Pelodiscus sinensis: one gene and its partners. The protein of the gene in region 1 purifies or fractionates together with the protein of each later gene. This does not show direct contact. Links are inferred from orthologs where the notes say so. Each region holds a gene or a part of one and is shown on either strand. Other genes may lie near its edges.

What was found.
Region 2: the proteins of STX12 (region 1) and VAMP4 purify together in Homo sapiens (affinity purification with mass spectrometry; 3 studies listed by BioGRID and IntAct, counting the BioPlex papers as one, with this or other methods). This does not show direct contact. The link is inferred for Pelodiscus sinensis from reciprocal best matches to the Homo sapiens genes STX12 and VAMP4.
Region 3: the proteins of STX12 (region 1) and STX10 purify together in Homo sapiens (affinity purification with mass spectrometry; 3 studies listed by BioGRID and IntAct, counting the BioPlex papers as one, with this or other methods). This does not show direct contact. The link is inferred for Pelodiscus sinensis from reciprocal best matches to the Homo sapiens genes STX12 and STX10.
Region 4: the proteins of STX12 (region 1) and SNAP47 purify together in Homo sapiens (co-immunoprecipitation; 3 studies listed by BioGRID and IntAct, counting the BioPlex papers as one, with this or other methods). This does not show direct contact. The link is inferred for Pelodiscus sinensis from reciprocal best matches to the Homo sapiens genes STX12 and SNAP47.

Annotation. Positions count from the first base shown.
Region 1 is NC_134735.1:22,766,027-22,773,739, reverse strand, and holds the start of STX12 (syntaxin-12), read right to left. Parts: upstream 3,012-7,713; 5' UTR 2,840-3,011; coding exon 2,731-2,839; intron 1-2,730. UniProt on the Homo sapiens protein: SNARE promoting fusion of transport vesicles with target membranes. Together with SNARE STX6, promotes movement of vesicles from endosomes to the cell membrane, and may therefore function in the endocytic recycling pathway.
Region 2 is NC_134719.1:64,088,851-64,096,693, reverse strand, and holds the start of VAMP4 (vesicle-associated membrane protein 4), read left to right. Parts: upstream 1-4,835; 5' UTR 4,836-4,988; intron 4,989-7,142; 5' UTR 7,143-7,201; coding exon 7,202-7,267; intron 7,268-7,843. Other genes in the region: METTL13 (eEF1A lysine and N-terminal methyltransferase), read right to left, coding at 520-1,273, 2,596-2,748. UniProt on the Homo sapiens protein: Involved in the pathway that functions to remove an inhibitor (probably synaptotagmin-4) of calcium-triggered exocytosis during the maturation of secretory granules.
Region 3 is NC_134729.1:13,735,781-13,743,480, reverse strand, and holds the start of STX10 (syntaxin-10), read left to right. Parts: upstream 1-4,697; 5' UTR 4,698-4,991; coding exon 4,992-5,026; intron 5,027-5,585; coding exon 5,586-5,755; intron 5,756-6,981; coding exon 6,982-7,076; intron 7,077-7,591; coding exon 7,592-7,654; intron 7,655-7,700. Other genes in the region: IER2 (immediate early response gene 2 protein), read right to left, coding at 735-1,394. UniProt on the Homo sapiens protein: SNARE involved in vesicular transport from the late endosomes to the trans-Golgi network.
Region 4 is NC_134712.1:254,224,639-254,231,582, reverse strand, and holds the start of SNAP47 (synaptosomal-associated protein 47), read left to right. Parts: upstream 1-3,936; 5' UTR 3,937-4,102; intron 4,103-4,655; exon of another isoform or gene 4,656-5,174; intron 5,175-6,944. Other genes in the region: 2-oxoglutarate and iron-dependent oxygenase JMJD4, read right to left, coding at 1,556-1,820. UniProt on the Homo sapiens protein: Plays a role in intracellular membrane fusion.

The DNA of each region.
Region 1 (7,713 bases):
CAAGCGTGACTTCTAAGTTGCTGGTGCCCCTTTATTTTATAAAGGCCTTTGATAAAACATGCCTTGACTATTTTGAGAAAGATTTGTGCTAGTTCTATGCCTCATGTGCTGCTGTGTTGACACAGATCAGGTGAAATGGTGTAAGAGCATAGAAGTAGGAGGATTATATTCGGTTTCATCCAACTGGCCATGAGAAGACAAAGCAAAGTGACAATACTGGGGAACAGGAGGGGGAAGAAAACAAAAAATTAAAAAAAAATCATTCTAATTTTGTCTTGTGCTTCCTGAGTTCAGTTCATTCCCATATCACCTGAATCGCACCATCAGTATACATGTAAAGAGTCCAGGCCTCCAAACCCTTATTCAAGGTAAACTTGAGCTTGTAAGTGCTTCTATGCAGAGATCGCATTGTACTAGGGATGTTAAGAGGCGGGTATTGAACTAATTGAGTAGTCGATAAAAATTCTATCAGCTACTTGATTAGTTGATAGGCAGCCTGCTCAGTCCTGACTCCTGGCAGGTGCAGGACCAAACCTCACTGTGGCTCTGCAATTTAAAAGGCAGTAGGAGCCAGGCAGCCTGCCCCCCCCCCCCCCGGCTCCTACTGCCTTTTAAATTGCAGAGCTGCCTTGGGGTTTGGTCCTACACCAGGTCCGTGGCCAGGACTGACCTGCTGACAGGGGTTGCTTTGCAGCAGCAGCAGCAGCCGCCCCTCCCCACTGCAAAGGGCAGGATGGGCAGCACTGTGGAGAGAGTGCTGGGGGGAAAACCAGCTTTTAAACCGGCTTCTCCCCACTACTACCTCTGATACAGAGGCAGCAAAGGGTGGGGGGCAGAAATGCGAGTAGTCCACTCCCTAGGCTGTGGGAACACAAAGTTTACAGCACTTCCTGGCTAAATCCTGATCTGGTTGTCTGGGTACTATGGTTATAATCAAGATCAGGCTACAAACTTGCCATCTAGTTTGCTAGAGGGAACTGTGATTTTTCACAAGAAGCAAAGGGCTTCACAGGAGAAGATCTGAGATGCTTATTTCTCTCCCGCAATGGAAACTGCTTTATTGCACATCTATGAGAGGAAGAGAGCTTGCAGGGAACCGTCCCTTGGAAGAGTCGGGGCGGACTAACAGGCCTTAAGCAGAGGCCACCACGGGCTGCAGGGGTGACCAGCTGTGGCTATTGACAAAGCGCTCGAGGTACAGGGGGTGCCTGGGAGCCGCCGTGGGGCTGACAGCACGGCCAGGGCTTGGGGGGCCGCTCCCGGGGGCCCAGCCCGGACATAGGGGAGGCGGGCGGCTGGGCCGGCTCCGGGAGGCAAATGGGCGATAGGCGGGCGGGCCGGCCCCCCCCCGAACCGAACCAGGTCCCTCCCCGGGCCCCCCGCCGGACCCCCCCCCAAACCGAACCAGGTCCCTCCCCGGGCCTCCCCCCCCGGACCCCCCCCCGAACCGAACCAGGTCCCTCCCCGGGCCTCCCTCGCCGGACCCCCCCCCCCCCCGAACCAGGTCCCTCCCCGGGCCCCCCGCCGGACCCCCCCCCGAACCGAACCAGGTCCCTCCCCGGGCCTCCCTCGCCGGACCCCCCCCCCCGAACCAAACCAGGTCCCTCCCCGGGCCTCCCTCGCCGGCCCCCCCCCCCCCGAACCGAACCAGGTCCCTCCCCGGGCCTCCCTCGCCGGACCCCCCCCCCGAACCGAACCAGGTCCCTCCCCGGGCCTCCCTCGCCGGACCCCCCCCCCGAACCGAACCAGGTCCCTCCCCGGGCCTCCCCCGCCGGACCCCCCCCCCCCGAACCGAACCAGGTCCCTCCCCGGGCCTCCCTCGCCGGACCCCCCCCCCGAACCGAACCAGGTCCCTCCCCGGGCCTCCCTCGCCGGACCCCCCCCCCGAACCGAACCAGGTCCCTCCCCGGGCCTCCCTCGCCGGACCCCCCCCCCCCGAACCGAACCAGGTCCCTCCCCGGGCCTCCCTCGCCGGACCCCCCCCCCGAACCGAACCAGGTCCCTCCCCGGGCCTCCCTCGCCGGACCCCCCCCCCCCCCCCCGAACCGAACCAGGTCCCTCCCCGGGCCTCCCTCGCCGGACCCCCCCCCCCCCGAACCGAACCAGGTCCCTCCCCGGGCCTCCCTCGCCGGACCCCCCCCCCCGAACCGAACCAGGTCCCTCCCCGGGCCTCCCTCGCCGGACCCCCCCCCCCCCGAACCGAACCAGGTCCCTCCCCGGGCCTCCCTCGCCGGACCCCCCCCCCCCGAACCGAACCAGGTCCCTCCCCGGGCCTCCCTCGCCGGACCCCCCCCCCGAACCGAACCAGGTCCCTCCCCGGGCCTCCCTCGCCGGACCCCCCCCCCCGAACCGAACCAGGTCCCTCCCCGGGCCTCCCTCGCCGGACCCCCCCCCCCGAACCGAACCAGGTCCCTCCCCGGGCCTCCCTCGCCGGACCCCCCCCCCCCGAACCGAACCAGGTCCCTCCCCGGGCCTCCCTCGCCGGACCCCCCCCCGAACCGAACCAGGTCCCTCCCCGGGCCTCCCTCGCCGGACCCCCCCCCCCCCGAACCGAACCAGGTCCCTCCCCGGGCCTCCCTCGCCGGACCCCCCCCCCCGAACCGAACCAGGTCCCTCCCCGGCCCCCCCTGCCGGATCCCCCCGCCGAGCCGAACCGGGCCCCCCCCGCCGGGCCGAACCGGGCCCCCCCCGCCGGGCCGAACCGGGCCCCCCCCGCCGGGCCGCACTCACTGCACTGGGCGATGCGCTGCACGTTGGCGCTGCAGGTCTGGACGATGGCGCCGAAGTCCCGGGCCGGGGGGCCCGCGGGCCGGCCCGCCTCCAGCGGCCCGTAGGACATGGCGCAGCCGGGCTGGGCGCTGGCTCCGGACGGGGCAGGCGGGAGCGCAGCTGACCAGGGCAAAACACCGCCGCGCCACTGCGCACGCGCACTGCTACCGGCACTAAGGCCCACCCCGGGCGGCGCGTGCGCACTCGCTGTCTCTCAGCTGCGGGCTGGCAGGCCCTTGGGCGCCATGGTTACGGGCCCGGAAGGGGTGAAGACCCCGCCTTGCCCCGCCCTGCGCGCGGAGCTCAGCTTGCACTGCGCCTGCGCCATGGAGGTCCGGGCCTGTCTCGCGGAGCCTGGCGAAGGGGGCGGAGCGAGCCTCCCAGCGACGATGGACTGGATGGGAGCAGCAGAGCGCACATAGCCCCGCCCCCGAGCGGGCTAGCTCCGCCCCCTCCCCAGCCGGGCCTAGAGCCCTGCGAGCATGGAGCCGCCCCTCCCCCTATTAGCAGGCACTGGCCAGGGGCGGGCAGAGGCCGCGAGCCCAAGGCAGGACCAGCCCGGCTCCATCATCCCGGCCAGGGCTGTGTCAGCGAGACACACACCTCCAGGGACTGAGCCCCCCCAGGGCACCCAGCCCAGCGCTTCCCACCGCCTGGGGACCTGCCCCCCTGCAACTGGAGCCCATTGCCCCTTGTCCTGCCACCCGCCCCCCCTGAGACCAGCCTCTCTGGAACCCCCCTTCAGGAACGTGCCGGCTGCCCTCAAATCCCCCCTCGCTCTTCGCTCCTGCAGATAAACAAGGCCAACTCCCTCAGCCTCTCCTCAGAGGTCATGTGCTCCAGCCCCCTCATCATTTTGGTCACCCTCCCCTGGACCCTCTTCAATGTGTCCACGACCTTTTTGTAGTGGGGGGCCCAGAACTGGACACAATACTCCAGATGTTGACTCAACAGAGCTGAATAAAGGGGAATAATGACATCTCTGGATCTGCTGGCAATGCTCCTCCTAATGCACCCTAATATGCCATTAGCCTTCTTGGCTACAAGGGCACCCTGTTGATTCATATCCAGCTTCTCATCCACTGTAATCCCCAGGTCCTTTTCTGCAGAATTACTACTTAGCCAGTTGATCCCCAGCTTGTAACTATGCTTGGGAATCTTCCATCCCAAGTGCAGGACTCTGCACTTGTCCTTGTTGAACCTCATCAGATTTCTTGTGGCCCAATCTACTAATCTGTCCAGGTCACTCTGGACCCTAACCCTGCCCTCCAGCATATCTACCTCTCCCCCTAGCTTAGTGTCATATGCGAACTTGCTGAGGGTGCAATCCATCCCTTCATCCAGGTCATTAATAAAGATGTTGGGAAGAAGGATCCAAGAACTCGGAGCGCAAGTGGTGTTCTCGTCCATCCTCCCTGTTGAAGGGAAAGGACTGGGCAGGGATCGTCGAATTGAGGACGTCAATGCGTGGTTGCGCAGGTGGTGTCGCAGAGAGGGCTTTGGTTTCTTTGACCATGGGACTCTGTTCCGGGCACAAGGATTGTTAGGAAGAGATGGGATCCACCTAACGGAGAGAGGAAGGAGCATCTTCGTGGGCAGGCTTGCAAACCTAGTGAGGAGGGCTTTAAACTAGGTTCGTCGGAGGACAGTGACCAAAACCCTGAGGGGAGTGGGAAAGTCGGATACCGGGAGGAAATGCAGAGAGGAAGGAGCAAGAAAGAAGGACCCCTTTTCAGCTTTTGCGGAAATTCAAGCGGCCAGTGTAGACAGCTGGCAAGTTTTTCCGGAAAAGCGGTTGATTTTCCGGAAAAACTGGCCAGTCTAGACACAGCCCTGGAGTATTGTGTCCAGTTCTGGGCCCCCCACTACAAAAAGGATGTGGGTGCATTGGAGAGGGTCCAGTGGAGGGCAACCAAAATGATTAGGGGGCTGGAGCATATGACTTATGAGGAGAGGCTGAGGGAGTTGGGTCTGTTTAGTCTGCAGAAGTGAAGAGTGGGGGGGGATTTGATAGCAGCCTTCAACTTCCTGAAGAGAGGTTCCAGAGGATGGAGAGAGGCTGTTCTCAGTAGTGACAGATGGTAGAACAAGGAGCATTGGTCTCAAGTTGTGGTGGGAGAGGTCCAGGTTGGATATTAGGAAAAACTATTTCCCTAGGAGGGTGGTGAAGCACTGGAATGGGTTACCTTTAATCACCCTGACATCTGTTGGGAAACCAATACAGCAGTACACAGGCAATCCAGGAAGTTTTTGGAGAATGTTGGGGATAACTTCTTGGTACAAGTGCTGAAGGATCCGACCAGGGGCCGGGCACAGCTTGACCTTCTCCTCACAAACAGGGAGGAACTAATAGGGGACGTAGAGGTGGGTGACACCCTGGGAAGCAGTGATCATGAGATGGTAGATTTCAGGATCCTGACCAAAGGAAGAAAAGAGAGTAGTAAAATACACACCTTGGACTTCAAAAAAGCAGATTTTGACTCCCTCAGAGATCTGATGGAAAGAATCCCCTGGGATGTTAACATGAAGGGGAAAGGAGTCCAGGACAGCTGGCAGTATTTTAAAGAAGCCTTATTGAAGGCACAGAAAGAAACCATCCCGACGCATAGCAAGAGAGGCAAACCTGGTAGGAGACCGGATTGGCTTACAGGGGAAATCCTTGGTGAACTTAAGCACAAAAAGAAAGCTTACAGAAAGTGGAAACTTGGACAAATGACCAGGGAGGGGTTTAAATGTATAGTTCGAGAATGCCGGGGGGTTATCAGGAATGCGAAAGCGCAAATGGAGTTGCGACTGGCTAAGGATGTGAAGGATACAAGAAAGGTTTCTACAGGCATGTCAACAAGAAGAAGGTGATCAGAGAGGGTGTGCGGCCCCTAATGGATGAAGGAGGTAACCTAGTGACAGATGATGTGGGGAAAGCTGAAGTACTCAATGCTTTCTTTGCCTCTGTATTCACGGACAAGGTCGGCTCCTGGACTTCTGTGCTAAGTGACACAAGACGAGAAGAAGATGGACAGCCCTTGGTGGGTAAAGAACAGGTTAGGAACTATTTAGAAAAGCTAAACATACACAAATCCATGGGTCCAGACTTAATGCACCCGAGGGTACTGAGGGAGTTGGCAAATGTCATTGAGGAGCCTTTGGCCATTATCTTTGAAAAGTCGTGGAGATCAAGAGAAATCCCGGATGATTGGAAAAAGGCAAATGTAGTGCCCATCTTCAAAAAAGGGAAGAAGGACGATCCAGGGAACTATAGGCCGGTTTCTACAGTCTTACCTCGGTTCCTGGAAAAATCATGGAAGGGATCCTAAAGGAATCCATTTTGAGACACTTGGATGAGAGGAAAGTGATCAGGAATAGTCAGCATGGATTCACAAAGGGCAAGTCGTGCCTGACCAATCTGATTAGCTTCTATGATGAGGTAACTGGCTCAGTGGACATGGGAAAGTCAGTGGATGTTATATACCTTGACTTTAGCAAGGCTTTTGATACGGTCTCCCACGCTATTCTTGCCAGCAAGTTAAGGGAATGTGGATTGGGTAAATGGACGGTAAGATGGATAGAAAGATGGCTAGAAGGCCGGGCCCAGCGGGTACTGATCAACGGTTCGATGTCAGGATGGCGGTCGGTTTCTAGTGGAGTGCCCCAAGGTTTGGTTCTAGGACCGGTTTTGTTCAATATCTTTATTAATGACCTGGATGAGGGGATGGATTGCACCCTCAGCAAGTTTGCAGATGACACTAAGCTAGGGAGAGAGGTAGATACGCTTAAGGGCAGAGATAGGGTCCAGAGTGACTTAGACAAATTGGAGGACTGGGCCACAAGAAATCTGATGAGGTTCAACAAGGACAAGTGTAGAGTCCTGCACTTGGGACGGAAGAATCCCAAGCATTGTTACAGGCTGGGGACCAACCAGCTAAGTAGTAGTTCTGCAGAAAAGGACCTGGGGGTTACAGTGGATGAGAAGCTAGATATGAGTCAACAGTGTGCCCTTGTAGCCAAGAAGGCTAATGGCATATTAGGATGCATTAAGAGGAGCATTGCCAGCAGATCCAGAGATGTCATTATACCCCTTTATTCGGCTTTGGTGAGGCCACATCTGGAGTATTGTGTCCAGTTCTGGGCCCCCCACTACAAAAAGGATGCGGAAGCATTGGAGAGGGTCCAGCGGAGGGCAACCAAAATGATTAGGGGCCTGGAGCATATGACTTATGAGGAGAGGCTGAGGGACTTGGGTCTGTTTAGTCTGCAGAAGCGAAGAGCGAGGGGGGACTTGATAGCAGCCTTCAACTTCCTGAAGGGAGGTTCCAAAGAGGATGGAGAGAGGCTGTTCTCAGTAGTGACAGATGGCAGAACAAGGAGCAATGGTCTCAAGTTGTGGTGGGAGAGGTCCAGATTGGATATTAGGAAAAACTATTTTACTAGGAGGGTAGTGAAGCATTGGAATGGGTTACCTAGGGAAGTAGTGGAGTCTCCATCCCTAGAGGTGTTTAAGTCTCGGCTTGACAAAGCCCTGGCCGGGTTGATTTAGTTGGGATTGGTCCTGCTAAAGCAGGGGGCTGGACTTCATGACCTTCTGAGGTCTCTTCCTGCTCTATGGTTCTATGATTCTATGCTGAACAAAGCCAGTCCTAGAACAGATCGTTGGGGCACTCTGCTAGAAATCGACCACTAACCTGACATCGAGCCGTTGATCACTCCTCATTGGGCCCGACAGTCTGGCCAGCTTTCTATCCATCTTACCGTCCATTTATCCAATCCATATTCCCTTAACTTGCTGATAAGAATATTGTGGGAGACCGTATCAAAAGCCTTGCTAAAGTCAAGGTATATCACATCCACTGACTTTCCCATATCCACAGACCAGTTACCTCATCATAGAAGCTACTGGGCATGACAGCTGGGGCAGGTCTGCGTCAGCACATGGAGGGGGCAAAGTGA
Region 2 (7,843 bases), on another chromosome or scaffold:
TTTGGAAGGGGGGGGAATTTCCCCCCACTTTGGAAAAGCCAGTCGAAAACGTGAAAGCTTGTCATGGGAAGGAATTTAAAGAAAAACTCCGTTTCGGGAGAACTGACACAAAATGTGTCCGGCTTCCTGGTGCCCTCACTTGGGACGTCTCATCCTAGCTACTGGAGAATCAGCGGGAGAAATGCTCAGTGCCCGAGAGCTGGACGGGGGAAGGAAAGGCAACCCGCCCTCTGTTTGGGTGACAGTGGCAGATCTGGGGCACTATTTCGTTTCACCGGGTTTGCTAGCCTCTGCCGACAAGCCCACGTTCAGCTGGAAAACCCCTAAGCCTCTCTTCTGAACACCCAGCAACTGCCGTGGAAACAAACAGGAGTGGTTAGGAGCCAGCATAGGTGAAAATCAGAGCCTTTTTATACCTAACCAGGGGCTTACGAGCAGAACTGTAGAGTCCTGCGGCGAAACGCTGCCCCCGCTGCCGTCGATGGGAGAGAAACGCCTTTTCGGAGGAGCTCCACTCACCGATGAAGATGGCGAAGTGATGGTCACGGGAGGCGTTCACGGAGGGGCTGTCCACCACGTGCAGCGTGTAGCGAGGCTTCCCGGTGTCCGCGTCGCACAGATCCAGGGAGACGTCGCCCGCACCGGGGGCTTTGTCCAGCTGGCTGCGCAGCAGCGCGTACATCTGCCTCTCCTTTACCGCCTCCACCAGCCGCTCCGCGCTCTCCACCCGCACGGGCTTGTCCAGCTCCTCCGTGCAGATCTCCAGGATCGGCTGCACCAAACCAGGGAGCTTCTTGCACTTGGTCATGACGTAGAGGAAAACGGGCAGCACGAACTGCTGCTGGGCCTCTCTGTCCTCGCTGCCCGCCAGCTGGTGAATGCGCACCACCCACCCCTCCTGGGAGAAGTAGCCCACCGCTTTCTTCACCACGTGGGCCTGGGCCAAGGAGACGCACAGGTAGCGGCCCCCAACCTGCAGCACCCGGCTAATCTCAGCGAACATCCTGTCCACCCTTTCGAGAGTGGCCTCCTCTTCGTCGACCAGGATGGCATCCAGGGTGCCCTTGTCCAGCACCACCTGGAAGCGGGCGTCCGGGAAGTCCATCTGCAGCATGTCCATCACCAGGAAGCTCATCTTCGGCCTCCTGTCGGCGTTGCGCTCCCTCATCTGCTTGATCACCACCTCGCTGATGTCCACGTTCACGATGTCCTGGTAGCCGACGTCATACATCTGCTCGCTCAGCTCGGAGTTGCCGCAACCCACCACGAGCACCTGGGACATGCAAAGAGAGGGTAGCTTCCCTGGGGGTCCCAACCCGCCTCACACACCATGGAGACGAGCAAACACCCGTGGGGAACGGATGCCGGGGGGGGGGGGCCTTGGGGGAGAGGAGGATCGGGGGGGGGGACATTGGGGGAGAGAGGGGGAAGGGATCCCGGGGGGGCTGCTGGGAGAAGGGAAGGGATGCTGAGGGGGCATTGGGGGAGGGAGAATCCGGGAGGGCACTGGGGGGAGGGGAAGGGGGATCCCGCTGGAGGGAAGGGAAGGGATCTCAGGGGGAAGGAGCGGTTGCAGGATCCCGGAGGAGGCGCTGGGAGGGGAGGGGGATCCCAGGGGGTATCCGGGGGGGGCGCTGGGAGGGGAGGGGGATCCCGGGGGGGGGCGCTGGGAAGGAAAGGGATGCCAGGGGGGGCGCTGGGGGAGGGAGATCCCGGGGGAGGGATCCGGGGGGGCGCTGGGGGAGGGGAGGGGGATCCCGGGGGAGGGATCCGGGAGGGCGCTGGGGGAGGGGAGGGGGATCCCGGGGGAGGGATCCGGGGGGGCGCTGGGGGAGGGGAGGGGGATCCCGGGGGAGGGATCCGGGGGGGGCGCTGGGGGAGGGGAGGGGGATCCCGGGGGGGCGCTGGGGGAGGGGAGGGGGATCCCGGGGGGGCGCGAGGGGAGGGGGATCCCGGGGGGGCGCTGGGGGAGGGGAGGGGGATCCCGGGGGGGCGCTGGGGGAGGGGAGGGGGATCCGGGGGGGGGCTGGGGGAGGGGAGGGGGATCCCGGGGGGCGCTGGGGGAGGGGAGGGGGATCCCGGGGGGGATCCCGGGGGGGCGCTGGGGGAGGGGAGGGGGATCCCGGGGGGGTCCGGGGGGGCGCTGGGGGAGAGGAGGGGGATCCGGGGGGGCGCTGGGGGAGGGGAGGGGGATCCCGGGGGGGCGCTGGGGGAGGGGAGGGGGATCCCGGGGGGGCGCTGGGGGAGGGGAGGGGGATCCCGGGGGGGATCCCGGGGGGGCGCTGGGGGAGGGGAGGGGGATCCCGGGGGGCGCTGGGGGAGGGGAGGGGGATCCCGGGGGGGTCCGGGGGGGCGCTGGGGGAGGGGAGGGGGATCCCGGGGGGGGCGCTGGGGGAGGGGAGGGGGATCCCGGGGGAGGGATCCGGGGGGGGCGCTGGGGGAGGGGAGGGGGATCCCGGGGGGGGCGCTGGGGGAGGGGAGGGGGATCCCGGGGGGGCGCTGGGGGAGGGGAGGGGGATCCCGGGGGGGGTCCGGGGGGGCGCTGGGGGAGGGGAGGGGGATCCCGGGGGGGCGCAGGGGGGGCCGGGGTCTCACCGTGTCGCGGGGGCGCGCGTAGCGGCGCAGGGCGGGGCGGAGCTGCGCGTACCCGCCGTACCACTCGAAGGCGCGCGCGCCGCGCTGGCGGAAGAAGCGCTCCCAGTAGCCGGCCGAGCCGAACTCGCGCGCGCTGCGGGGCAGCAGCGCCATGGCAGGGGGCGGGGCCTCTCCCCACGTGCGCCCGCGCCGCGCCGCGCGACCCTGGGACGTTGCGACGCTACGTCCGCGTCCGGAGCCCGCCCATTGCGGGGCGGGCGGGGCTCGGAGGCGGGGGCGGGGCCCCGGGGCGGGGCTGGGAGGCTGTGACATGAATCCATGGGCTGCAGAACCAAAGCCTCCCCAGGGGGCAGTGGCTACAGCTTCGCGCCTGCCCGAGCCTGCAGGCAGGGGGCGTGGCCATTCTCCGCTCAGCTGGGTGTTGACTCTGGACCCTAATGACATCGGGACAGGCAGCGACCAGAGGAGGCAGGAACTGCACACAAGTAGCAGCCCAGAAGAGGAAGCTGCATACCAAATGTGGTGGTCCTAGCCCTTACCATTTAGGAAGAGTTCTTGAACAAACAGACTCACAATTGGACAGACAGATGCACATTTTTAAAATACATAAGTACATTTGAACCATCCCTTAGACCACACCAGTGCAACTGCCCAAAATGTCAGTTGGGAAGAGAGAGAGCCAAATCCGAATCAGCATAGCTTGATTGATAAATTCACACCAGGTAAGGATCAGACCCATTCACACATTCAGACTAGCCAAATGTTCAACTGCTGTTTACTGAAAACAGGAGGAAAGGAGGGAAGGTTATAATGATATTGGCATAAACAGACACCCAGCATACACTGATTGGAAAGAAGCTCATATATTTAACAAAATAACAGATGGAGAATTATTAATGCCATCAAATGCCTTTGCAAGAAAACAAACAAAACAACAACAAAAACGTACGGTAGCTATATGTTAGGCTTGTTTCCTGCTTGTATAAAAACAACCCAGCTAATCAGAATCTCAAAAGAGTATTTTCCAAAAGCAGATTTACAATAGTGACAGCAGTTAGAGGCAGATCAGTTGTGGAAGGTTGTAAGTATGCGCAAAACATCCTGCTTTTCTGCACGGTTGCAACTGGTTCCGCAAACGGCAGCATTTTAAAAGCCACCCTCTGAGTCAGGAAGCCCCAGATTGGATCTTCCTTTTGGCAAGTATCGTTGTGCAGAGTTTGTGGATTTGCCGTAGGTGTGTGTGCTTTCGCTCCAAAGAGGGACTGCTTCCATCTCCTTTTTCTAAACACAGGGGCTACGTCTACACTGGCCCCTTTTCCGAAAGGGGCATGCTAATTTTACAGGTCGTAATAGGGAAATCCGCGGGGGATTTAAATATCCCCCGCGGCATTTAAATAAAAATATCCGCCGCTTTTTTCCGGCTTTTAGAAAAGCCGGAAAAGAGCGTCTACACTGGCCCCGATCCTCCGGAAAAAAGCCCTTTTCCGGAGGATCTCTTATTCCTACTTTGAAGGAATGAAGGCTGGAGAAAAGGCCCTGTAGGGGGTCTTAGAGTTCAATATGTTCTGTTCTTCTCCAAAGTAAGATTGAGAAGTGAATTGATCAGGATTTTTACACACAGAAAATGCAGGTGCCCACCGTGGAACAGTTGATCGTGGTGGAGAGATGGGGAGGTGCTGATCGGCAGAGCTACAGGCGGGCGGGAGGCATTTGGGTGCGGAAGAGGTCCGGGGGGTGGCTGGTTCGCGCCCCCCCCCCCCCCCGCCTTTCTGGAAGATGTAGGTGAGTCAGACACAAGCTAGTAGGTGCAGGTGGGTGAAAATCTGCGGCCTGCAGTATAGACTAGAATGATCCAACCATCGCTTCTGGCCTTAACATCTTTGGGGTCTAGTCACGCGGGTTGGGGGCTCGCTGATACACGTCTGAACGCCAGCGCTTCGAAGGCAAGCGCCTAATTCCCCTTGGCTTCAATGGCAGCAAGCGCCTAATTCCCCTTGGCTTCAATGGCAGTCACGCACCTAAGTGCCTTGTAGGATCTGGGCCGGGGGCATTTCCTCCCTCCCGCACTGGGACTGAACAATCGCTGTGCGTGCGGGGGGGTGCAGAGCCCCCCCCCCCGTGCTGCACCCCCGCGTGGACACGGGCCGGGACCGCGACAGCCCCGAGCGCCGCGCCGCTGCCCACGTGGGCTCCCAGCTGGCAGCGAGCCTCAGCCCCGCCCCCTCGCGCGAGTGGGCTCGAGACACGCGCGCGCCCCCCAGGGGCCAGCCCGCCGAGCGCCGGGCAGGAATCGATGGCTCGGCGCTCGGCCCGGATCGCCGAGCGCTCGATGGAGCAGCTGACTCGCAGCTGGGCCCCTCCGCGCAGCCCGGCCATTTCCCAGCCGCGGAGCGGTGAGCGGGGCCGGCAGGGGGGTTATCGGGAGGGGGCTCCGGGGGGGCAGGGCCTGGGGGCCCTTGGGGAGGGGGCTCTGTGGGGGGCAGGGCCTGGGGGCCCTTGGGGAGGGGGCTCTGTGGGGGGCAGGGCCTGGGGGCCCTGGGGGAGGGGGCTCTGTAGGGGGGGAGGGGGCCCTTGGGGAGGGGGCTCTGTGGGGGGCAGGGCCTGGGGGCCCTGGGGGAGGGGGCTCTGTGGGGGGCAGGGCCTGGGGGCCCTTGGGGAGGGGGCTCTGTGGGGGGCAGGGCCTGGGGGCCCTGGGGGAGGGGGCTCTGTGGGGGGCAGGGCCTGGGGGCCCTGGGGGAGGGGGCTCTGTAGGGGGGGAGGGGGCCCTTGGGGAGGGGGCTCTGTGGGGGGAATGGGGTGGGAATTGGGGGGGTCCTTGGAGGCCGTTCTGTGGAGAGGCTTTGGGGGTTCTGTGGGTGAAGGGCTTTGGGGGCTCCCAGCTACGTGTGCTTGCAGAGCTCTTGCCCCCTCTGCTGTTGTCTGGTGGCCCCGTGTAGACTCATGCTGCACGTGAGCTCGTCTCAGGGTCCCCTCTCCTCCCAAGCGCTGGGTTTTAGAGGGGAGTGGGGTTCGGGGGCTTCACGGGGGAGGGGTCCCAGGAGAGACCCATCGGGGAAAGCAGTTCCCTAGCACTGGGGTATCTCTCACTTCCTCCAGCCTGTGCTCATTGCCAGGGCTTCTCCTCTACCGGCCACATGATCCCTCCGATAACCCCCAGCCCAGCCCCTCGTATTCGCTGTGGTCCCTGCTTCCGGCCCAGCCAGCTGGGTGACACCCGCCCCCCCCCCACTCCTTGCCCAGGACCATTGTACCCCCCTACCCCCATCAGCTGCCTGGGTGACTTCTCCAGATTCTCTAACTTGTGCCTCTTTTGCTCCTGGCTTCGGTTGTGTCTGGACTGTTGCTCTTAACCTGTAGCGACACTCTCATCCTTCAGCACATGGGGACAGGCCCTGCCCTGCTGCGGGCTGTCTGGCTGTTTAGGGGAGCAGACAGTGCTCGCTGTGCTGGGACATTGGCTAAATTTCCTGCATTTCTGGTATTGTCACAGCCTACGGCTCTCCCTGCAATTTTCCATGTGCCCGCTCCGGGGTGGCAGGTTCCCCGGGATTGCAACGTTTCATCTCCACTGACTCCTGCAGCCGAGGAGAGTGGTGATGTTCAAACCCGCAAAGCCGTATCCAGGGTACTTGGGGTAGAAAGCCGCTTAGGATAGAACTGGGTGGCTCGGGGAGCCAGATTCTTTACCTCCTGGGTCACTGGGACACGGAGCCAGACGAGGTCAGCCCTGCAAGTGATCACTATGAAGTGGGGTGCAGTTCCTTGCTGACAGATATTTACCCAGCCCAGCTCTCCACCACCCTCGGCATCTGTGGGTCACTCCCAAAGACGCCAAGGGCAGGGGCCGTCTGTCTGGCTCAGGTGGAACGGAACACGTTGGCGGAGGAACGCTGGAGAACTTTGCATGCTGCCGTGCCTACATGAGATGGGCCTGTTCTGTAGAGAAGCAGGGTTTAACTCTTCCAACTGGGCCCCTCGTTGGCACTGACCGTAGCAAAGGGGGCAAGGTGGAAGAGAGAGAGCAGACCGCGCTTGGCCAAAATCCTGTGGGGGCTCGTCAGGTTTTATTGCTTTTCTTTCCTGGTTTAGTAACCTGTGGCTTTTTGATAAAATTGGTCGCTTTGGGGTTTTAGACCAAAGGGCTTGATAAGGGTTGTGGATCGGTTCTCCGCTGTGCTCAGAGCTGTACAAAAATGCAGAAAAACACAGTCCCAGCCCCAGTGAACTTAAACGCTTTGGCCTTGGCCCTCCGGAAACTCACATGTGGCCTGCACAGTCACATGCGTAAAGATAAGCAGGTACCGTCACGTCTCTTCAGGGTCAAAGTTTCTGAAACTAGACGGAACGACGTGATCTGTCCCTTGGGGTCCCTGAAAGCCTGGCATTGCTGGGCCGGTGGGTTGATTTTTCATTCTCTTTCCTGTGGCATTTGTCAATGGATTCTGTTTCACTGGGCTGAGTTTTAGGGAGACCGCGGCGATCGGACAGAGAATTGATCTCAGCACAATGGGCTCTGAGATGTTTTCTTCCCTCTCCCTTCTACGCAGCCTCTTCTTCCGCCACCCCCCGGTACAGACAGTCCAGGCCAGTTCTGTGAATAGGAAAGATGCCTCCAAAATTCAAGCGCCACCTAAACGACGACGAGGTGACCGGCTCGGTGAAAAGCGAAAGGGTGAGTGCCTGGCAACTCAGGGTCTCGTTTGCATTCGTTGGCACCCCGCCCCCTTAATTAGCAGGGGTGTGTTTACTCACACTGTGCTCTGAGATCCCTGGCTGGCACACACAGCTCCGTTGCCGGGGGCTTTGGGACCATCGGAACGGGGAGGGATTGCTGAAAGCGGACCTCAGACGAACGACATCTACCGTGATACAAGCCAAGTGGGGCACTCAGCATGTGAGCGCAGAAAGCCAGATGGGAGGACATGTTGAATCCTTCTGGCTGGCCGCGCTCAGTGCTGACTGCTTAGGATGCCTCGCTTGGTGTCTTCTCAGTTGTTGAACAACTTCTTCAGAGGGTGGAGCCAGCTGGGGGTTGTGCCTGCTAAATAATCCCTGTTTTGTAATTGGGCTGTGTGTCTGGGAGGAGACATCGGCGTTTTGCGTACACTGAGCGCTTGGGCGGCCGCCCAGGAGAGATGCAAATACTGCCCATTGATCCATAGCTGGGACCAAGTGTTTCTTGGTGGTGCGCACCTGCGCATGCCTTGGCGCACAGAACAAAATTTATTCCACACACAAATAGTCACAA
Region 3 (7,700 bases), on another chromosome or scaffold:
TGCTACACCCAGCGTGATGCAATGGCTGGTCATATGAGCTGTGTCAGAACTTGTCAGACTGGTTGGAAGTGGGGGGGGGGGGGGGGGGGGTCGTCTCAGAGCTTTTCCTCGGATAAAGAATAAAGGCGGGGGGGGGGGGGTGAAGCACTTTCGAGAAAAGCGTGAACCCCTGAGGAAGGAAACGGGCCTCCCACGACCCCCCCCCGGGCTGGCGAAACCCGCCTGGATCCAGGAGCTCTGGCCTGGAGTATTTCTCGGCTCCGGCTCGGGTTGAAACCCGCCAGCTCGCCCCTCCCCTCCGGCTGCCCCCAGGACCCAGAGCAAGAAGCAGGCCCACGTCTCAAGTTACCGAAGCCCAGCCCGGCCCCCCCAGAGCGCGGGGCGGCAAATAGCACCAGTCAGCCCAAGGCTCGCCCTCCCGGCAGGCCCCCAGTCCCCCCGCACACAAAGCGGAGGCGGCGGCGTCTCTCGCCCCGCTGCGGCCCGGCCCTTTGTCTCGCCTCCCCCCGGTCCCAGCCGGGTGGGGAGGGCAGCGGGCGGGGGAGGGGAGGGGAGAGTCCGATCTTTCTTCCGCCGTCCTCCAGCCTCCTCCTCGCGTGTCTCTCCCGGCCGGCTCCTCGCCCCCTCCTCCTCCAGGGAGAGGGGCTGCGCCCCCCAGCTCCCGCCAGGAGCCGGGCGCGCCGCGGGGCAGCTTCCCGCAGCCACGAGTCCCCCCAAGCGGCGGGGCAGCGGTTTCAAAAGGCCACCACGGCTCGCACCAGGATGTTCAGTACCGCGCCGTCCCCCGGCCGGCAGCCCGGCGTGGGGGGATCGGGGCCCTTGGCCGGGCCGCTCCGCAGTCTGCCGGCGAACTGGTGCTGCAGGACCTTGGCCAGGCTGGGGAAGGGGCCGTCCTGGCCCTGGGGCTGCCGCTCGCCCTCCGCCTCCTCCTCCAGCCGCGCCTTCTTGCTGGGCGCCAGCCCGGCCTCGGCCGCCCCCGGCTTGTCCAGGCTGCTGCTCCGCCGCTTCCTGCTGCCTTTGCCCGCGCCGGGCAACGAGACGCCCCGCGCCGGCCGCTTCCCCGGGGAGGCGGGCGCCAGGGCCGGCTCCCCGCCGCTCTCCTGCGTCTCCATGGGCTCCGTCGCGCCGGGGGCGGCGGCACAGTCCGCGGGGGCCGCCCGCTCCTCCGGCGGGGGTTGGCCGGGGTCGGCCGACTGCTCCGGCGTGCAGGGCGCCTCGCCTCCTGCCTCCGCCTCCTCCAGCTTGGCCGAGAGGTAGAGCTCCCGGGCGCTGCGCATGACGAGCGACAGCTGCAGGCTGCGGTGCAGGCGGAGGCCGCCGCGCTGCAGGCGGGAGTGGTAGAGCTTCCACACCGACATGGTCATGATGCGCTGCGCCTCCTTCTGCGCCTCCATGCCGCGCGCAGGATCGGGCCCTGCCGGAGCTGGGGGGAGGGGCTGCGCCCGGGTCTGCCCACCCCCGCGCCCACCGGGCGAAGCTGCTGCTGCTGCTGCTGCTGCTGCGGCGCCGCCGCCTTCGCTCGCGACTCTCCGCTCCTCCGCCTCCGACCAGCCGCCCGGACTAAGCCCAGCCGCGCCCCGCTCCGCGGCTTTTATACCCCTGCTGATCTCAGCGCCCGGGCCGCCCCCGCCCACTCCCTCAGCCGCATCCGGCCGGTGCAACGCGCCGCCACCCCCAGCCGCCGTGGGGGGAGGGGCGGAAATGCCAGGGCGTGGGGGAGGGGGAGGAAGCCGAAGGGACCCTGCCGGGCAGCCGCTGGCCAAAGCAACCAGGCAGCCGGAGCGCGGGGGGAGGGGGGAGGGACATCCCCAAACTTTGCGCTTCATTGTGCGCGTCCAGCGTGGAGCCCGGGGCTGGTTTGCACGCGCAGCGCCGCGGCCGGAGGGAGCCCCCCCCCCGACGCCAAATGGCCGGGCAGGGCAATCGATGCAGCGGCTCGTGCCCCCTGCGGGTGGGGGCGCGCCCCCGCCTCCAGTGCAGCGCCTCGTGCACGCGCAATGCGACCCACCCCGGCAGCCCCGGGGCCACCCGCGTGGGCAGGGCCGCGCGGCCGGGTCTGCGGGCAATGCCCTGAAATGCGCACGAGGCCAAGCTCTTCGGCGCAACGCAAGCAAGGCGAGCAACGTTGTTGTGTCTGTTACAAGGAGCGAGACCGGCTCTCTGTTTACTGCAGCCTGCCAAATAAATCTCTCCCTGCGTCCAACGCAGCCACACAGCCGCAATAAAACCGCCCTGCGCGGTGGCTGGAATGCAGCTCCAAGGCAAAGGCAAACCCCGTTGTGTGTGTGTAGATAAACAGCGCAATCTGTGTTTAAATCCACGGACTGGAGCAACCGCCCCATTGGCGTGGTGGCTGCAAAACGTGTGTCTGCACAAGGCTCTCTAGCATCTGGTTTCATGCAAATAAACAAACCTTACTACAGCGGATCCCAAATCGGAGCCAGAACTCTTTGTGAATGAAACCGTACTCCTGTGGCGTGCGCCCGATGCGAGCTGCCGTACGGCTCGGCTCGTTACACCCCGCTCCGACTGGCAGACTGCGTGGAGGCCGGCACAGCCCCGCCAACATCGGCTGCGTGTGTGAAACCCGGGGGGGCGAAGCGGTCTGTCCGCAGCTGGATCCCACCCCGGAGGTGGCCCCGTCCAGGCCAGGGCGCGTTAAGCTTCCTGCAGCTGGGGGGGGGGGCATTTTCTGGGTTGTTACAAGTCACCCCCTGGGCACCCCCCGTGGCAATGCAATGGAGCCCAGCTCCTCCGCTGAGGGCCATGTTCTCCCCGAGGCCAACAGTGACACCTTCCCAGCCCGCATGCTTTGCATGGATGCACCGCAACGGGCCTTGCAAGACACCTCCCCTGGCCGGGGGTCAGTGCGGGGGCGGGGGGGGGGGCTTCAGCTAGTTAAAGTTAAGCCCCCGGGCCCCGCCACCCAGAGGATACTCGCTCAGCCAACAGGCCCTTTCCCCCCGCGGGCTCTTTAAGAGGAAGGAAGAAGAGGCGGAGGCTCCGCCCCACTGTTGAGGTCACCCCAGCCTTCCCTGGTTACCGTTTCCATGACTATATTTGGGGCCCATGACGACAGGGGGCGGGCCGCGAATGCGGCGCGCACCAACGTTCCAACCCGGGTTGCGATTGTAGCGCCGCTCGCTTCCTCTTTCCGTATAAGGGCAAGGGCTGGAAGGCCCCATTGCGGGCTATGGGGAGCCTCCTTCCGGGATCCTACCAGGAAAAACCCATCTGCCCGCGCTGCAAATCCCTCCCCCGCAGCCTGCCTCCGCGCACCGCACGTGGGATGCGCCCATCCCCCAGCCAGGCGCCCCAGCAACCCGCCGCTTGCCTGTTACCCCAATCTCCCCCCAGCCAGACCCCGCCTGCCTGTCCCCTCAATCTCTAACTGCCCCTCCTGCCCCTCACCCCCACAACCCCCAATCTCCGCCCAGCCAGTCTCCGCCTGTCTGCCCCCTCTAACTCTCCCCAACTCCCCCTCCTGCCCCTCACCCCCACAGCTCCCTGTGTCCCCCCAGCCAGACCCCACCTGCCTGTCCCCTCAATCTCTAACAACTCCCCCTCCTGCCTCTCACACCCCCAGTCCTTGATCTCCCCCCAGCCACTGCCTGATTGTACCCTCAATCTCTCCCTAAAAACTCCCCTACCTGCCTCTCACCCCCCCGTCTCCAATCGCATCCCAGCCAGCCAGCCAGCCCCCACCTATCAGTCACCCCCAGTCTCCCTCAGTCACCCCTACCTCCCTGTCACCCCCAGCCCTCCCCCATTTACCACCTGTCATCCTAACACCCACACAAACTCTCCACCACCTATCACCCTAAGTACATGACAACCCCTTCAGTCTGACTTGACACAACCAATCCCTTCCCCACATACAACACATCCACCCACAACATCCCCCCGACCCAAGAAGACACAACCTGACTACACACATCCCCATACAGCCCATTTCTCCCACCCACTCACAACTCCCCAACACTACCTAACTTACTCACCATCTGGCTCTACACTTCCACCCCTAACCTCCCCTAACACATCTCCGAGAACTCTCCCCACAACTTGACCAAATACCTGACTGCACACATACCACGTGCGACTCTTCCCACAAGCTACCTATACACCTCACAGGATGCCTGTCCATACCCTCCCCCCAATCTGATTACCAGCATATCACCCCATGCCCCCCCATTGCCTCACCACTCTGCCTGTACACAATCTAGCTGTACACAGCTCACACACATGCCACAAGTCCCCCCACACTCTGACAGGCAACCCCCCTCCTCACAGCAACCCTTGTGGCTCCCCTCAACAAATCGCGCATCCCACAACCTCAGGGCACGCAGCCCCCTCCCCGCTATTGCTCCCAGCCTGCTAGTCTCAAGCGCTGCCTGTCACCCCTCAAAGGCCGGGATCCTGGAGCCGCCTGGGGGCCGGGCTCCCATGGCGTCTGCAGCCAAGAGTCCCGGGAAATCCGGGGGGGGGGGGGCACCAGCAGGGACTAGTCCCACTGGCTGGGCTGGAATGAAATGAACATGGGGGAGAGGAGTCAGACCTCCTGGGTTCAGTGCTCAGCTCTTGGGGGGGGGGGGGGAGCGTAATGGTTGGGGGCGGGGCCGGACGGACTCCTAGGTTCTAGCCCTTGTTGTGGGGGCAGGGAGTGGAGCCTAGTGGCTAGAGTGGGGGAGGGGGAAGTCAGGACTCCTGGGTTCCAGTGCCAGCCCCCCGGCTGGGGTAAGTGGGGGGCCCGGACTCCTGGCTTCAATTTCTCTGCGCGGAGCGGGTCGGGGCCGGGAATTAGGGATCAGCGCAGCCCCCGCCCCGCGGAGGCTGAGAAGGGGGGAGCCGCCACCTCCCCCCCAAGTCCGGGCAGGCCCGCCCCGCCCTCAGCAAAGGCGGCGGCCGCAGCTTCGGGAGGGCAGGGCCAGCGCCGGTCACATGGCGGGGCGCGGCGGGGAGCGGAGCCGGAGCAGGAGCGGGGCCGGGGCAGCATGGCCCTGGAGGACCCGTTCGCTGCCGTGCGGGGGTGAGTTGGCCGCGGCCCGCGCAGGATCGTGCCCCTAGAATATGGGCGGGGAAGCCTCCCCCCCCGGGGAAATCCCCCCCGGGAAACCCCCCCGCCCTCGTGCCCCCCCCCCCGTCCTGGAGAAACCTCCCCGTCCCGCCCTCTCTCCCCCCCCCCGTCCCGCCCCTAAACAGACCCTGCCCCGTCCCGTCTCTCCGCCCCCCGGAAGAAACCTCCTCCCGTCTCCCGCGCCGCTGGACAACCCCCTCCCACCGGCCGCCCCACTTCCTCGCGCCTGGAGAACTCCCCTCCCCCCTCCCCCGCAGAGACCCTTCTCCTATCCCCGTGCCCCACCAGGATCCTCCCCACCCACCCTGTGCAGGAGAGACCCCCTTCCCAGTCCTCGCTGGGAGGGTGCCAGGGCTGCTGGGGGGTCCTGCCTAGTGCGAGATGCAGCCACCTCTGGGGTGGGGACTGAAGAGTAGCGGGGCAAGACCTGGCAGCACCAGGCCACCTTCCTGGGGATCCCTGCCCTGCTCCTCGCTCGCCCCCTCCTCAGCCCCCCTCTCTTTGCCCCCAGGGAAGTGCAGAAGGCTGTGAACACGGCCCAGGGGCTCTACCAGCGCTGGTGCGAGCTGCTGCAGGAGACCCATGTCGTCAGCTCCGAGGAGTTCGACTGGACCACCAACGAGCTGCGCAACAACCTGCGCAGCATCCAGTGGGACCTGGAGGATCTGGAGGAGACCATTGATATCCTTCTGGGGACCAGTTCCCCCGCAGGAGCGCCCCAGTGCCAGCGCCCCGCCCCGCTCCTCGCAGCACCCCCTGCAGCCAGCGCCCTGCCCCGTTCCTCGCAGCACCCCATGCTGGCAGAGTCCGGGAGCACCCCCTGCAGCCAGCGCCCTGCCCCGCTCCTCGCAGCACCCCATGCTGGCAGAGTCTGGGAGCACCCCCTGCAGCCAGCTCCCTGCCCCGCTCCTCGCAGCACCCCCTGCCGCCAGCGCCCTGCCCCGCTCCTCACAGCACCCCATGCTGGCAGAGTCCGGGAGCACCCCCTGCAGCCAGCACCCTGCCCTGCTCCTCGCAGCACCCCATGCTGACAGAGTCTGGGAGCACCCCCTGCAGCCAGCACCCTGCCCCACTCCTCGCAGCACCCCCTGCAGCCAGCTCCCTGCCCTGCTCCTCGCAGCACCCCATGCTGACAGAGTCTGGGAGCACCCCCTGCAGCCACCACCCTGCCCCGCTCCTCGCAGCACCCCATGCTGACAGAGTCCGGGAGCACCCCCTGCAGCCAGCGCCCTGCCCCGCTCCTCGCAGCACCCCCTGCAGCCACCACCCTGCCCCGCTCCTCGCAGCACCCCATGCTGACAGAGTCTGGGAGCACCCCCTGCAGCCACCACCCTGCCCCGCTCCTCGCAGCACCCCATGCTGACAGAGTCCGGGAGCACCCCCTGCAGCCAGCGCCCTGCCCCGCTCCTCGCAGCACCCCATGCCGACAGAGTCCGGGAGCACCCCCTGCAGCCAGCGCCCTGCCCTGTTCCTCTCAGCACCCTCTGCAGCCAGCACCCCATGCTGACAGAGTCTGGGAGCACTCCTCGCAGCCAGCGCCCTGCCCCACTCCTCTCAGCACTCTGCCCTGATCTTTGCAGCACCCCCTGCAGGCAGAGTCTGGAAGCCCCCCTGCAGTCAGCACCCTGCTCAGCTCCTTGCAGCGCCCCCCTCCTGGCAGAGTCCGGGAGCATCCCCAGCCCCAGCACCCTTCCCGGCGCCTTGCAGCCTCCCCTGCAGCCAGCGCTTTGTCCCTACACCCCATGGCAGCCCCTGCTGGGACAGGCCATGGGAATGAAGGGAAATCCAGAGAGCTGTTTCATGTCTGTGGGCTGCTTGGGAACCCCCCCTGCACACACACACCGGCTCCTCTCCAGTGCTCCCCCCTCCCACCCTGGATCTGCACTTGGTCCTTAACGCCGGCGCACGCATTGTGGAGTCAAACCCTCGCAAGTTCAGGATCGAAGCCAGCGAGCTGACGGAGAGACGGGCATTCGTGAGGCAGATGCGGGACTCAGTTAAGGTGGGGGACCCCCCCCCGCCTTGCACCCCCTCTTCCCTTTGTGTTTGAGTCACAGGGCTGCCCCCTACTGGAGGAATGAAGACCTCTTCTGAGAGCGTGAGGTTCTACTCCCCTCTAGTGGGGCACACCAGCTAATGCAGTAGAGGGACCCCAATAGCTCAGAGGAGGAGAAACTGAGTCAGGGCCATGATTTGCAGCAGGTTGTTCTGAAATGTGTGTGTTGGAGAGAGCAGTGGGCTAGGAGTCAGGGCTCCTGCATTCTGTCCTTGGCTCTGAGATGGGTGGGGGGCCTAGTGGTTAAGGCAGGGGAAACCCAGGTCACTTGGGCTCTGTTCCTGCTCTTGCTGGCTGACTGTGGGGAAGTCCCTGTATGTGAGGCTGACAGAAAGGGGGACCCCCATCGAAATGCTCTGAGTTGCTCTCCCAAACCTCTGTGCTTCCCCCCTGCACCCACCAAAAGTCCTCTGACCTCAGATCAAGCTTGTGTTTTAACCATTTCCTTCCCTCCCTCGCAGGAGATGCAGGATCACGTATCCAGCCCGTCAGCCCTGGCCTTCGCCCAGCGGAAGAGCAGAGAGGTATCTGGTCCCATCCTCGCGGAGCAGGACCGGCCCTGTAGAAAGT
Region 4 (6,944 bases), on another chromosome or scaffold:
TTTTTTTGCGCAAGAGTTCTTGCACAAGAAGCCGCGAGTGTAGACATAGCCACGCTGTTTTTATTTACAGGACTCTCCTGTTCCTGGGGCTGCAAGGCAAGCATTGCCTGACAGGTGCAGGGAAGGCACAAGCCCTTTCAATAGAAGCATTTAAAAGGGCTGGCAGCTCCCCCAGCTTCTAACATGTTGCTAGGGAGCCAGAGACGCGAGCTCTTTCAACTGCTTCTATTTAAAGGGCTTGTTTGCTGGGTGGCTGCATTGCCTCGCAGCCACCCGACAGGCACAAGCCCGTTAAACAGAAGCAACTGAAAAGAGCTCACAGCTCTGCCCCACTGATCGAGCTGCCCAAAGGCGCGAGCCCTTTCAACTGCTTCTATTCAAAGGGCTTGTGCATGCCGGGCAGCTGCCAGGCAACAGGTTAGAAGTGGGGGGCAGGAGCTGTAAGAAATCTAAGCCTCCACCCCAGACAACTCTGGGAGGAGGCTAACCCCTGGCACCCTCCCCTCTGCTCCAGGTCCCGTCCATTGGCCAGAAGTTAGGGGGGTAGGAACCCCAGGGCAAGCAAAGTTCCCAGTAGGGTAGCTCTCAATACCACCTCTTCCGCCCCAGGTCCCACAGCATCATCTTGCCCAGGAGCACAGCAGAAAAAATATGGTTTGGGCTGGTTAATGGTTTTAGTTAATGAGTGTCTTTTAATGAATTAAAAAAGCACATACACATACCATTCATTTCACTACATAAATATTCTAATTGAAAAAAAAAAGATCATTTGTGTCCTGAAGTGCTCCTATGTTTCAAGGCGTTTCAAAAACATAGTTAATCACTGAAAATTGTAGCTGCTTCCTTCAAGAAGTAGCTTTAAATGCCCAATAACCTATCTCATTACAACTGGTTTTGATAAAAATATCTAGATGCCATTTTTATAGTCAAGTGTGGGAATCTTTTTGTAACTCATGAAACTGAATATCCTTAATGTGGGTGGGAGGAAAAACAGGGACACTGATACTATTTCATGGAATCATAGGTCTGGAAAGGGCCTCAAAGTCCTTTAGTTTAGTTCCCTGCACTCATGGCAGGACTAAGTATTAATTTTCAGTGCCCTATGTTTAGTATTAGTGTTGTTATTATAAATGTTACAAGTTTTCTCAAAATGTTAAGAGTTATTATTACAAATTTTACAAGTGTTGCCTTCTATGATAATCTTTGGATAATGTTGTATGCAGTTAAGTATTATTAAAATTGAATTACTTTGTTGTGTAAAAACCATAGTGGCATTTTTTTACAGCACATGGCCCGCCCCTTCTGCCCAAGGCCCCGCCCCTTCCAGGTTGGCTCATGGACACTTCTGAAATTTGTGACGTGGCCTCCCTTAAAAAATTATTGCCCACCCATGATCTAGATCATCGCTGATAGATATCTATCTAGCCTGCTTTTTAAAATCTCCAATGATAGAGATTCGACAACCTCCATAGGCAATTTATTCCAGTGTTTCACCACCCTGACAATTAGGCAGATTTTCATATTAAATGGCATATTAAAAACTTAATTCACTTACCAAAATGCTGCAGTAGGTAATCAAAGTTAGGTTTCCCATCCTGAGTCACCCAATTCCTCCTGCTGCCCCAGCCCTCAGTGAATTTAGCTGAGAAAACACAGGGGTGGTTGGGAATCAGATAGTCCCTGAAAAAATCGGAGTAACTGAACGATTCTACCTTTTCAATATAGTCAACATGTCCTTGGGGCAGGCTGACTGCTACATGAGATGCACTGCTGTAGTCATGAAAGAACGCAGTGGAACAGGCAAATGCTGCTCTGTCCATTCAGATTATATAACTTTCCTGGTACTTGGTCGAGAAGATGTGATCAGACAATATATTAAGTTAGGTTAAAATAAATAGCTGTACATTAATCTGAGTGGATCTTTCAAATGTATAAAAATTAACTCACAGTTAAAAAAAATCCAATTCCAAAATACAGATAAAATCTTGCAGGAAAAGCTTTGTTCTTTTGTGTTTCAACATGCAGGGTTAGAAATGTCCTTTAATGTTGCTTCAATTGTTTATGGCCACCTTGATCGAATGGCTACATTACAAACAAATCACAGTAACCAAAGCCTATATTCCTTGTAGATCTCTTTCATGTCAGTGGCAGATAGTCTAGTTACGTGTCCATATTAAATTATTTCCATGCTTTCGCTTAGCATTCTCCGTGGGTCGCAGAAGAGAACAGCCACTTGCCTGTTTCTAGAAATAAACAGCAGACATGTTCATTTCAGTGGGGTCTCTCTCCAGCTCGGGGAACAAAAAGAAAAGCTTCTATTGCAAGCAAAAAATAAAACGTGTCCTGTTCTAAGATTGCCAGATGCGACAGAAAACATTAAGCAGGATAGTTTGAAAAGGTCAGGTCCTTCAGGGATCGAGCTGAGCTCCTGCATTCATGTCATATACTCTGCACTGCTTGGGATGCTGCATACAGACAGGCAGCTCCCAATCATTAAAAAATAATGAGGTGGTTGAGTGGTAACAAGGACTGATAGCAGCCATGCCTGGGGGAGGAGAGGAAAGTGAAGGAAGAGACGTTCCTGGAACCCCAAACTCCTCTTAACCCCAGCAGAGGGAAACCCAAGAGCCTGAAATGTATCCCTGGAGTCCTCCACGAGACTCCAGCTGACAAGAAGGGAGGGTCCCCAGGAAAGGAGGGGGACCCGGAGTCCCGTCTCAGGAGCGTGGGAGGGGGCCGGGCTCCCCACTATGGGCATGGGATGGGGGGGGCTCCCGCCATGGGGGGATGAGGGGACCCGAGAGGGGGAGGGTCTGGGATCGCAGGGAGGCAGAGTGAGGGGCCCCATGGGGGGCAGGATTCCTGCTGGGGGGGTGCGAAGGTTCTGGGGTGGGGGGGCAGGGTTCCTGCTGGGGGTGTGTGAAGGTTCTGGGGTGGGGGGGCAGGGTTCCCGCTGGGGGGGGTGAAGGTTCTGGGGTGGGGGGGCAGGGTTCCCGCTGGGGGGGGTGAAGGTTCTGGGGTGGGGGGGCAGGGTTCCCGCTGGGGGGGTGAAGGCTCTGGGGTGGGGGGGCAGGGTTCCGGCTGGGGGGGGTGAAGGCTCTGGGGTGGGGGGGCAGGGTTCCCGCTGGGGGGGTGAAGGCTCTGGGGTGGGGGGGGCAGGGTTCCCGCTGGGGGGGGGTGAAGGCTCTGGGGTGGGGGGGCAGGGTTCTGGCTGGGGGGGGTGAAGGCTCTGGGGTGGGGAGGGCAGGGTTCCCGCTGGGGGGGGTGAAGGTTCTGGGGTGGGGGGGGCAGGGTTCCCGCTGGGGGGGGGTGAAGGCTCTGGGGTGGGGGGGCAGGGTTCCCGCTGGGGGGGGGTGAAGGCTCTGGGGTGGGGGGGCAAGGTTCCCGCTGGGGGGGTGAAGGCTCTGGGGTGGGGGGGCAGGGTTCCCGCTGGGGGGGTGAAGGCTCTGGGGTGGGGGGGCAGGGTTCCCACTGGGGGGGGTGAAGGCTCTGGGGTGGGGGGGCAGGGTTCCGGCTGGGGGGGGGTGAAGGCTCTGGGGTGGGGGGGCAAGGTTCCCGCTGGGGGGGTGAAGGCTCTGGGGTGGGGGGGGCAGGGTTCCCGCTGGGGGGGTGAAGGCTCTGGGGTGGGGGGGCAGGGTTCCCACTGGGGGGGGTGAAGGCTCTGGGGTGGGGGGGCAGGGTTCCGGCTGGGGGGGGCGGGGATGTGACGCTCCAGCTCGGGGGGGGGGGGGGAGGGGCCCCAGGACGGGACGGGGTCGCCACGCCAACCGGTCACGCACCCTGGGCTCGCCGCCACCCGGACGCATTATGGCGCCGCACCCGGCGCGTGACCCTGGCTCGCGGGGAAAGCGACCGGAAGTGTGTGGGGGATGGGGCGGAGACGGGCTCGGGGCACCTGCTCTGCGCCTGCGCCTGCGCCGGGCGAGCTGTCTCGGGGAGGCCGGAACCCTGAGCGCGGCGTCGCACGTTCCCGGGGGGAGAGACGTTGGGGGAGAACAAAGGGAGGGCGGCTCCGCCAATGGGAGAGCGCGGCGGGCGCAGGCGCGGAAGGCTCAAGCGGGGTAGCTGGCGCCGAGCGTCCCAGCACCTTCCCCTGGGGGAGGTGAGTCATTCCCGGCCGGTGGGGGGAGGGGCGAGCGCCCGCGTCCTCGCTGGGGCCACGGGGAGGGGCCCTTCGTGTGGGGGGGGACCCCAGGGCGGGGGGAGGGGCACATTGTGTGTGGGGCGCCGAATTAGGAGGGGGGGGCGAGGTGTGGGGCACCCCTGGGTGGGGGGAGGGGTGGCGGAGTGTGGGGGTTCCCTAGGCGGGAGGGGTGATGTGTTGGGCACCCCCAGGCAGGGGAGGGGTGGCGGAGTGTGGGGTTCCCTAGGTGGGGTTCGAGGGGTGGGGGGAGGGGTGGCGGAGTGTGGGGTTCCCTAGGTGGGGGGGCGAGGTGGAGGGCACCCCTAGGTGGGGGGAGGGGTGGCGGAGTGTGGGGGTTCTCTAGGTGGGGGGGGCAAGGTGTGGGGCATCCTAGGTGGTGGGGTGTGGTGGCGGAGTGTGGGGGTTCTCTAGGTGGGGGGGGCAAGGTGTGGGGCATCCAAGGTGGTGGGGTGTGGTCGAGTGTGGGGGGACCCCTGGGTGGGCGGCGGGGGCTGCTGCAGAGGCAGGACGCTGCCGTGAAGGCCCCCTGGGGTACTGCTGACTTGAGGTGTCGGTGTCAAGCATTTCAGACTAGCTCATCCATCCGTGATACAAACTTGGGCAGAAATATCAAACCTCAGTGAAGCCAGAAACAAATTTGCGGTTCCAAGAATGGGCTAAAATAGGAGCCAGTGACTAAAGATCAGTCATCTTTGGAAATGCTGATACCTTTGTTTCCAGGGGTGAGGGGGATAATTCCCCAGAAAGGAGAAGAGTGGGATGCTGTCATGGTGGAGATGGGATGGGGAAGGCACACTGAAAGAGGATGATAAACTATTCAGGCATTAACAGTGTGATGTAACCGCATGTGTAGAAGCATGATGCCACAGATGGGAAAATTAGTCACACTTGTTATTTACATAATGCTTTTCAGGCAGTGATCTCAGTGCATTTTACAAATGAGGGCAAAAGCTCCGTCACCTCAGCAGAAACTGAATCAGAGAAAGATTAAGGCAGTGGTCACCAACCAGTAGATCTTGGAGCCTGACAGGTGATCCTGACTGGTCTGGCCAAGAGGCTATCAAGTGCTGGCATTTCAGTTGCCTCTCCCCCTATTGCTGTACACCTCCTGCCCTTTGCCTTAGACCTGCTTCCCTCTCCCCCCCCCCCCCCCAGTCTCCTGCTTGCAGTACAGAGCAGGAGAGGGAGGGGAGAGGGTGCTGATGTCAGGGTGCCCCCCTCCCACCCTGTAGTCTGTCTCCACAGAACGGAGGTTGGGGTGGGGGGGGAGACAACAGGGCTTAGGGTGGAGGGAGTTTGCTGGGGGGTGAGCCTGCCTTAGCCCCATTGCACCACCACCCAGGAACCACCTGAGGTAAGCAGTGTCCAACTGGAGCCAGCTCTGAATCCCTGCCCCAGTCATGAACTCCCTCTGCCCCAGCCCTGAGCCCCCCAAATCCTAACTCCCTCCCAAAACCTGCACCCCAACTCCCTGCCCCAAGCTCAGTTCAGAGCCCCTTTCACACTCCAAATCCATTAGCTCAAGACCAGAACCTGTGCCCCAACCTTCTGCCCCTGCTTAGTGAAAGGGAGGGAAGATGGGGAAGGGAGGGAGGACAGAGCAGTGGCGGGGTCTCAGAGAAGGGACATGAAGGAGGTGCGGTACGGGTATTTTAGTCTGAGGTAGCTCTTATATTGCACTTAAATTAAAAAAAATTGTGCTTAAAAAGGTTGGAGACCAGTGGCTTAAGGCATATGCCTAATAAGGATATTAAGTATTGGGTAATTGACTAATTGAATAGTTGATGCGTTTTTGCTTATCGGATAGTGGACTAGTCTCATAGACTCATAGACTTTAAGGTCAGAAGGGACCATTATGATCATCTAGTCTGACCCCCTGCACAGTGCAGGCCACAGAATCTCGCCCACCCCTCTTAGAATAATCCTCTCACCTATGTCTCAGATATTGAAGCCTTCCAATACTTTGAAGGCCCCAACATGCAGAGAGTCCTTCAGCTGTGATCTGTGCCCAATGCTACAGAGGAAGGCGAAAAACCTCCAGGGCCTCTGCCAATCTACCCTGGAGGAAAATTCCTTCCTGACCCCAAATATGGCGATCAGCTAAACCCTGAGCATGTGGGCAAGACTCACCAGCCAGACACCCAGAAAGTTCCCTATAGCAACTCCTATCATCCCTCCATTGACCTATTTCCAACTGGAAATGAATGGTCAATTAGTTACCAAGATCATGTTATTTCATCCAACCATCCCCTTATCATAGAATCAGAACTGGAAGAGACCTCAGAAGGTCGTCAAGTCCAGCCCTCCACTCTAGGCAGGACCAATCCCATCTAAATCAACCCGGCCAGGGCTTTGTCAAGCCGAGACTTAAACACCTCTAGGGATGGAGACTCCACTACTTCCCTAGGTAACCCATTCCAATGCTTCACTACCCTCCTAGTAAAATAGTTTTTCCTAATATCCAATCTGGACCTCTCCCACCACAACTTGAGACCATTGCTCCTTGTTCTGCCATCTGTCACTACTGAGAACAGCCTCTCTCCATCCTCTTTGGAACCTCCCTTCAGGAAGTTGAAGGCTGCTATCAAGTCCCCCCTCACTCTTTGCTTCTGCAGACTAAACAGACCCAAGTCCCTCAGCCTCTCCTCGTAGGTCATATGCTCCAGACCCCTAATCATTTTGGTTGCCCTCCGCTGGACCCTCTCCAATGCGTCCGCATCCTTTTTGTAGTGGGGGGCCCAGAACTGGACACAGTACTCCAGATGTGGCCTCACCAAAGCCGAATAAAGGGGGATAATGA